2 linked regions of the Struthio camelus genome follow. Each later gene encodes a partner of the first gene's protein in a complex. Links are inferred from orthologs where the notes say so. Each region holds a gene or a part of one and is shown in the gene's direction. Other genes may lie near its edges.

The links.
Region 2: the proteins of CCKAR (region 1) and CCK are in contact, whole or in part, in a cryo-EM structure (PDB 7MBX), measured with the Homo sapiens proteins. The link is inferred for Struthio camelus from reciprocal best matches to the Homo sapiens genes CCKAR and CCK. Residues at the interface, in NP_000721.1 of Homo sapiens: Cys94, Phe97, Asn98, Pro101, Asn102, Lys105, Asp106, Phe107, Thr118, Met121, Gly122, Val125, Tyr176, Phe185, Asn194, Met195, Cys196, Arg197, Phe198, His210, Leu213, Leu217, Ile329, Phe330, Ala332, Asn333, Arg336, Ala343, Glu344, Leu347; in NP_000720.1 of Homo sapiens: Asp96, Tyr97, Met98, Gly99, Trp100, Met101, Asp102, Phe103.

The regions. Positions count from the first base shown.
Region 1 is NC_090945.1:66,705,227-66,709,139, forward strand, and holds the start of CCKAR (cholecystokinin receptor type A), read left to right. Parts: upstream 1-1,639; 5' UTR 1,640-1,994; coding exon 1,995-2,115; intron 2,116-2,831; coding exon 2,832-3,083; intron 3,084-3,913. UniProt on the Homo sapiens protein: Receptor for cholecystokinin. Mediates pancreatic growth and enzyme secretion, smooth muscle contraction of the gall bladder and stomach. Has a 1000-fold higher affinity for CCK rather than for gastrin.
Region 2 is NC_090943.1:51,799,079-51,802,991, reverse strand, and holds the start of CCK (cholecystokinin), read left to right. Parts: upstream 1-1,241; 5' UTR 1,242-1,330; exon of another isoform or gene 1,331-1,451; intron 1,452-2,432; 5' UTR 2,433-2,434; coding exon 2,435-2,690; intron 2,691-3,913. UniProt on the Homo sapiens protein: This peptide hormone induces gall bladder contraction and the release of pancreatic enzymes in the gut. Its function in the brain is not clear.

The DNA.
Region 1 (3,913 bases):
TGTAGTGACTGGGCCTGCTGAATTCATTGGAAATTGACAGAGAAAACATTCATGAAATACTGGAATAATTCAAAATGAATTCAAAACTAAGAGAAAAAATTTAAAATCTGCATTTAAGTAAATGGGGAATGTTTGTCGTTTAATAGAAGTGATTGATCAGTAACACTCATCAATTGCATCATACGAAACACAAATGTAAAGGTGAACTAGATAGCTGAGACTAAATCAGTTTTTTTCACAGATCTCAGTACTTAGTATTCAAGCTTAGTGCACAATCGTTGTAAAAATGGAAATATACTTTAATTTTCATTTCTTAAATATAATTTTCATACATTTTGAGAGTCACAAGTGGAAAAAATAAACCCGAAAGAGTCATTCTGGATTGATTTCCTACCAGTATGATACACCTTTGGAACTGGAATTGAACCCTGCTGGACTGAATGTTTCTTTCTGATGAGACAGTTACTATGTGAAGTACATCATATACACTGATTGCCAGCTTGAGTCTGTATTAATAAGCTCAGATTTTAAGAGCTGCAAGACTTTGTACAAGAAATGGAAACCTTATAATTAATTTGTTAAAGAAATGAGAATTAGAAATTAGAACTTTAGCTGCAGCTGTTCAATCTGCTCTCCAATCTAGCCATTCCAGTTAATGGCACTGCACGTTAAGGCTGGAGAGACTGGCAAAGAAATCCAGGCCTTCCAGCCTTTGTGTATCAACTTTAAGGGGTCAGACTAAAACTACTATTACTCTGCCTATTTAATTAGAAGGGATTTTACATGTGAAATTTGTTTTCAGTTGAGTTGTAGCAGGGATTCATTTATAATAAAATGTTTTGCCATGAGCTACATGTACGTCTTCTCTATCTTTCTCAAAAAAAAACCCAAGCCAAAACAAACAAACAAGCAAACAAACCCCAACTGTACGTGGCACGTTAAAAGTCCATGACATTGTTGAAGTATCAGAGAGGATGATGTTTGTATATTCACAAAACAGAACAAATAAAAAAGAATTTCTTGTAAACAACCAGGATCATCGTATTTTACACTAGCGGTTATTGCTTCATCAAATTTGTAGACAAGTTGCATCCAGCTCTTTGCACCGAGAAAATGTATAGGCTTCTGCTTATATTAAACAATAATTTTAATAGTGTACTTTCATAAGGTTTGATCCAAAGAACATTGAAATTAGTGTGTCTTTCTATTGACTTACTAGGTTTTGGATCAGGCACTTACAGAGCTTTCATATGAAGTTAGTGGAGCACCTCCCCAAATGAAATAAATGGCCCTTGTTTTTCTGAACCAGTTCATAGCCAGTCTTCAGTTCACTTTGAAAAAGGTAGAGCAAATAATTGGTTTTATAAAAGGCACAGAAAATCTTCACTGTGTTTTTTTCTTCTGTGCCCTTTTATTCAGCTCCTCTTAACCATTTTAAATTTTGTTGTCTGAGAGACTGATTTATCATGCTCATCACTTACTGGTCATGATTTATTGGCTGTGGCGTAACAGACTTCCTCTGAGAAATATTGCAGATATGTGAGTAGAAGCAATCTTGCAAGGGGTTAATGTTATAATCTTTTTCTAGTCTGTTTATAATCCCAACAGTAGGCCAGTAACAGAAGAGGGTGGATCTAAGGAGGTACGGGAGGAGGTGTGTGTGTGTGTGTGTGTGTGTGTGTGTGTGTGTGCGCGCACGCGCGTGTGCGCCTATGTGTGCATGTGCATGTGCATGTGTATGTGTACTCATGCTTTGCTTTTCTGAACCTAAACTGCCTTGCGTGCCCCGGGAATGAATCTTCTCCCCCCTGAGCAGGATTCTGTGCACTGGATATTCCTGATGGATAGTTAAAAGAGCTTACTTGTACAACCACCTCGCTCACTTATCACTACGGAAGATTTCGTTGAGAAATATTTGCCTTTACTGAAAGAATGGGCAAATAGTTACAGACCAACCCTTTTCTTCATAAAAGCTAACCCACGGCTACCGAAGAATGGAAATTGTTGATGACAGCTTACTTGGGAATGCTACCAATATTTCTACTTTCCTGTGTGATATCATCTTGGAAAATGACACTTTTTTCTGCGTGGATGATCCACCGTACCCTTCTAAAGGTATGTGTAGAAAATAGATTTTTCTCAGACAGCATTAGTTCTCACTGAAAGTGAGACACCATAGAGAAAAACAGCTACAGGAGGCTTTTTCTGTGAGGGAGTGCAAAATCAACTGTTTGCTGATAAGTTAAGATGAGAAACAGGCGGTATGTGCTGACTTTGGGAGCTAAAAATTCACCTAGAGCAAATTTCAGTGAGAATGGGAAAGCAACAGTAGCAATACCAGGCACACAGTGTAAATAGCTCTGCTACCGGCTGAAAGAAACATATTTTTTGCTCTTCAAACACATCAATAGCAGCAGAGATATCTGATCTGATACCATGTACGAAAGTGATTAAATATGAAATTATAACACTCTGAAGCTGAACAAAATCATCCATGTATCAAAACCCTTTTGATTGCCATCTCCTTTCTCCCTTTGGCATGAAGGAGGAATTTCCGTTGTGAGCGACCGGTGCACGCTAAGGGGTTTGAGCAGAGGGTGCTTTTACGAAGTTGTACCTGGCTCTCCAAATGTCCACTGTGCTGCATGTATTGTATTTCAATATCGTGCACGTCAGGTAGACCAGAATAACTTTAAGAATTTCAGAACTTCCACCGATTTTACCTTGGTGTAGAGACCTCAGCCTTAGCAGAAGCTTTACCTTTTGGTTACGGAGGGGACACACAGCGAATGTATGCTTCCTGACTGATTCTTCACTGTGACCGTTTTCAGATTTGCATCAGACCATTCGGATTCTGCTGTACGCGTTGATATTTCTGCTCAGTGTTTTGGGGAACATTCTTGTAATTACGGTGCTGATAAGAAACAAACGGATGAGAACGGTCACCAACACATTTCTGCTCTCACTAGCTGTCAGTGACCTAATGCTCTGCCTTTTCTGCATGCCATTCACCCTCATTCCCAACCTGCTGAAAGATTTTATTTTTGGCAGTGCTGTTTGTAAAACTGCCACTTACTTCATGGGTAAGTCTTGGAAGTTTATACTTATTTTGAAGATTATCTTATGAGATATGTGAGAAGCTCGTTAAAGACCAGTAAAAAGCTGACTGTTTCCATCTGCTGTTGAACAATTACCAACTTCACTAAAAAGCAACTTTGTGGTGCGAATCTTCATGGTGCTGGTCTCCTTAGTTTGATCCAGCAAAACACAGAGGCACCCACTTAGTTTGAAATACGCACATAAGTGTTTTTTTGGACCAGGTTAAGCAGTAAGTATTTTGCAGGACCACCCTTTAGTCAGGAACGTGGCACCTACTCTTGCTTACCCATCACTGACAGAATTATTAACAGTTTTCAGATCACTAGGCAAAAATAGTAGCGTTGTGCAGTCCTCACTAAAGGCAGATTTTGCCCACAGCTTTCTGGTACCATAACACAGAGAAACACAGAGACAAACACAGAGAGAAAAATAGCCCAAGGTAGATATTATTTGCAGAGCTGGCAGTTAGAGCAAGAACTACTTAAAAATCAGGTGTGATGAGAAGTCACCAGGGGGCCGTAAAACACAGAGCCCTCAGATGGAGGTTTAACAGGCTGGCTTTAGGAGACACCACTTACATATATGCCTTATATATGCTATCGAGGTCGAGCCAGGACTGCCTGGATTATGACTATCTATGTAAGTGACTTTTGTCTCATTATCAATACTTCTTTTGTTTTTCTTTTTTAAAAAAAAAAAAGAAAAAGAGAACATTATGTAAAGGTTTTGCTGACTTAGAGTTACCTGTGGTTAATTACAGAAACCAAAGTTCCCTTTTCAACCTGCGCCCTTGAGAACTTCCATGCAATGTGAA
Region 2 (3,913 bases), on another chromosome or scaffold:
CCCCATCACCTCCCATCCCACCACCATCCCCATCACCCCCACCACTCTCCCCACCAAGGCGAAGCCACAACACCCCTCTCAGGCCAGCAGCGCTACCAGCTGCGCCGGGATGCCGGTGGCTGCTCTCCCTGCGCCCAGTGTGCCGCAGCCGGGCGACACAGGGAGCGGCAGGGGTCCGGTTTGGGTGGGGACGGGGCCTGGCGGTGAGGGAGCTGCCCCGCAAAAGTGACAGCGCCTGGGAGAAAGCGGCTCAGCGGCCCTTCCTGGCAGCAGCAGGCTGGCTTTCTCTTGGCCCGCTGTGGGGCACCTTCCTGCCACGGGGTTTCTGCCTTTCGGATGACTTGACCCCTCTCTTGCACAGCAGGCGGTTGGCGCTGGGATGCCCCTGCAGGCCCGGGGCAGGGCTCGTCCCGCGGCGGTGCCGAGGAGACGGGGAGCAAGGGCGGCTCCCGCCAGAGCGGCCCCTTCCTAGGGGCGCTGCGCCCGGCCCTGGAGGGTCCCCAGAGCTGCTGCTTCAGCGGGGTGCCCCTCGGGCCGGCCCCCGGCCCAGCCGCCGCCGACACGCGGCTCCCAGGGGAGGCTCGGTGCCTGGTCAGCCAGCCAGGCTCTTTGGCCGACGAAGGAGCCGGGGTGGCAGCCTGAGCAGCGGGGCAGGATCACGCCGGAGCCCAGCGCCATCGCTGCCCGTGGCGCCCTGCAGCCCGCTCGGCCCCACTTGGGGGGGGGGGGGGGGGTCGGTGTTCCCTTTCCCCTCTCGAGGTCTGGGGGCTTTTCAAAAGAAAATGAGGGGCCCCTTCTCCTTGAGCAGGCGGGAGGGTGCGCTCGGCACAGCCGAGAAAAGCCCGAACCGTTTCTTCCCCCCCGAAAATAAACGCCGGCGCGTGTCAAGAGTGAAAAACCCGCCGCCCCCGGGCAGGAGCCGCCACCGGCAGCCCCTCACCGCCGTGTTTGGGCTGAGGGAAGGCGGGGGGGAGGGAGAATCCCTTGGCTGAGGTGTAGTTTTAAAATCTCCAGCCGCCAGGCAGCCGGCGCTCGGGCTGAGAGTTTCACCTCAGCGAGGGCTGAGAGCCCGACGCGCCCCGGCGGGGGCCAGGCAAAGCCCAACGGCGCCAACCGCCGCCGCCTCGGGGAGGGGCGCCCCGCTCCCCCCCCCCCGGCCCCCGACCCGGCTCCCCCCGGCCCGGCGGGCGGCGGCGGCTGCGTCAGAGCTGTGCAAACAGCCGCCGCCGCTATTTAAGGGGCCGGCGGCAGAGGCGGCCCTGACTGAGTGCCGAGCCTGGGCGCGCACGGCCTCGCTCCCTCGGGTCTGGCCTCGGCGGCGCAGCGGCAGGTAGGCGGCGGCGGCCGGCACCCCGCGGCGGGCTGGAGTGGGACTTCAGTGGCGCTTTGATTTCCTCTCCCGCCCTGCCGAAAGGTCGGGTTTTGCGCACTGCCAGTGTTTTCGGTCTAAGGTATACGGGGTGGGGGGGGTGGCGAATGAACTTCGTGTTTTTTTGGTTTTTTTTTTTTTTGCCCTTCTTATGAAATTGTAAGGCGGTTGTTCGGTGCGCTGTTCAGGAACTTAAACTGAGTCACCAGCTCCCGTGCAGGTAACTTGTGTAAGTGGGAAGTAGCCTTAAAGCGTTAAGCTTTAGCTACGTTGTTTCGCCTGTTTTTACGGAGAGTAATTTTTATGTGTCCGGAAGAAAAGCCTGTGTCCGTTTATATAATCAAATAATCTAGCGAAAGGACATCGTTTTTTCTAATATTCGTTTCCTTAAGGAAGCAGCAAACAAAAATCATTACACTTGAGCTCTCTGCTTTACATCAAGAAGAGTATTGCCACGCTGCACGTTATTTCTTACTCCCGACCAGCTTTTACCACCTCAACGGTTAGATCCAGTGCTGGGGGGGAGGTTATAGATTTTGGTTTTATTTTCCTTCTGTGGCTGCTTTCCTCCTCACTGTGTGACAAGATAAAGCCTCTTGAGCGCTGCAGTTCAAACCAAAGAAAGGTTGCTCGAAGTAATGGCTCCGTAAAACTTTTCAAAATCAAGTATTTGCAGTAACAGTGGGTTTTAGCACAACAGCGGAATAGTGGTGTTTTTTAATCCTGGGATTTTCCTCGGAGCTGGATGTGTTTCTTATGTTTTAGTGAAATGCAGCTTCCAGAAAAGCGAGGAGGAATGGAGTGAATCAAGGAGATGCTGCACAAAGCACAGTGAATTGGTTTTATCCCTTCCTGTGTTACTTAACAGCCCACAGATGCTTCTGCCTCTTACCCAGGGATATTTAACTATTAATGTACATGTTTTCCAGCTTAATGCTGATCCCACAGTTATCCCTGTTTAAAAAAAAAAAAAGCTTGCTCAGAAGCCGTTGCCTCCAAAAATGAAGGTGGGGATAACATAAAATATCTGATCGTTTTAACCCCTGATTCCTATTCTCTCCAGCAATGTACAGTGGTATATGCATCTGCGTGTTCCTTGCTGTGCTCTCAGCAAGCTCTTTCGGGCAGCAGACTGCGGGCTCACACAATGGGAATCCACTGGCTGCCGAGCTTGAGCAGAGTTTGACAGAGCATCACCGGCACGTCCGCGCCCCTTCATCCACCGGCCCGCTGAAACCTGTCCCGCGGCTGGATGGAAGCATCGACCAAAGAGCTAACATTGGTGCTTTGTTGGCCAAGTATCTCCAGCAAGCCAGAAAAGGTAATAGCCTACTTCCTATGCTGCTTCTGCGTTAGTGGAGTTTCCTTCAGAAAAACCTAGATGTTAAGGGAACCCTGTCATAGTCCAGCATGGATTACCACAGAAGATAGGAGGTAGATTTTTGCCTAGTTATTCCTGAAGTAGAGAGCATTCTCCTTTTCTGTTGTTGCAAAACTCTGCCAAAAAGATTTTTCACGTATCATCCACTGGCTGAGAGCTGGGTACAGGTAACAGGAAAATTTAAACCTCCCTGTCAGGTTCTAGCTGAGCATTTATTTATTTATTTTCACTTATTTTCATAGCCTTGTAATTATTTTGGTATGTTTTGCAGCATGTTTTATTTCACCCAAAATCTAGTAATTGCATTTTCTTGAACTTTTTCATTTAAAAAACCTCCATTCCTCTTTGAAGTTAGGAGAGCAGGAAAGCTTTTCTGTGGCTAAATACAGACCAAATGGCTAATCTTTCCTCAGCCAGGAACATCCACAACAGGGAAATCTTCTGAGTATTGGACTTTCCATGTAGTTGTTCTCAGGGAGAAGTTACAAAAGCATGCGAGCTTTTGAAAGATCGGAACTTGCATTTATGAACACAGTGCTAAAGCAGTGGTAAATAAAAGTGTTTGCTTCAAAATGTGTCAATTCCTATTTGGTTTTGAGTCCCAGGCAGCCTTGGAGTACAACAGAATCTTGCAGTTACTTAAAACCTCCATGGCACTGCATTTGTAACAGGGTGTGAAGCACTGACAAGAGTAATGGAATTTGAGGGCTTGATTTTTTTCTTATGTGATATAGTCATTTAAGGAAGAAACTGTATTACATACATGAGCTAGCTAGGGAAAGAATAAAGCTGTATAATAAAAGTATATATTTTACATGCACACACACATATGCTGTCTGTACTATCAGTAGATGTGATGGATCAAAATGGTTTCATATAGTTCCCCGTTGAAACTCTCCTAAAAGACACTTTTCCTTTTGAAGTATCTCATCTGTGTATTGCTTTCTGTCTGAGTAGAGTAGCACTGCGGGCAACCTAATTGCTGTCGACTCCATGGGAGAGAGATGGCTGCCAGCCTCAGCAAAAGCCACCACGCAACTTGTGGAGTTGCACAAATCTTGTTTACTTGCTATAGCTTCTGGCTGGTCTATCTCTGGTATTGCAGGGGAAAAAGGACATATTAGAAGCATAGAGGGCTGAAGAGAGAGACAGTAATTATGATG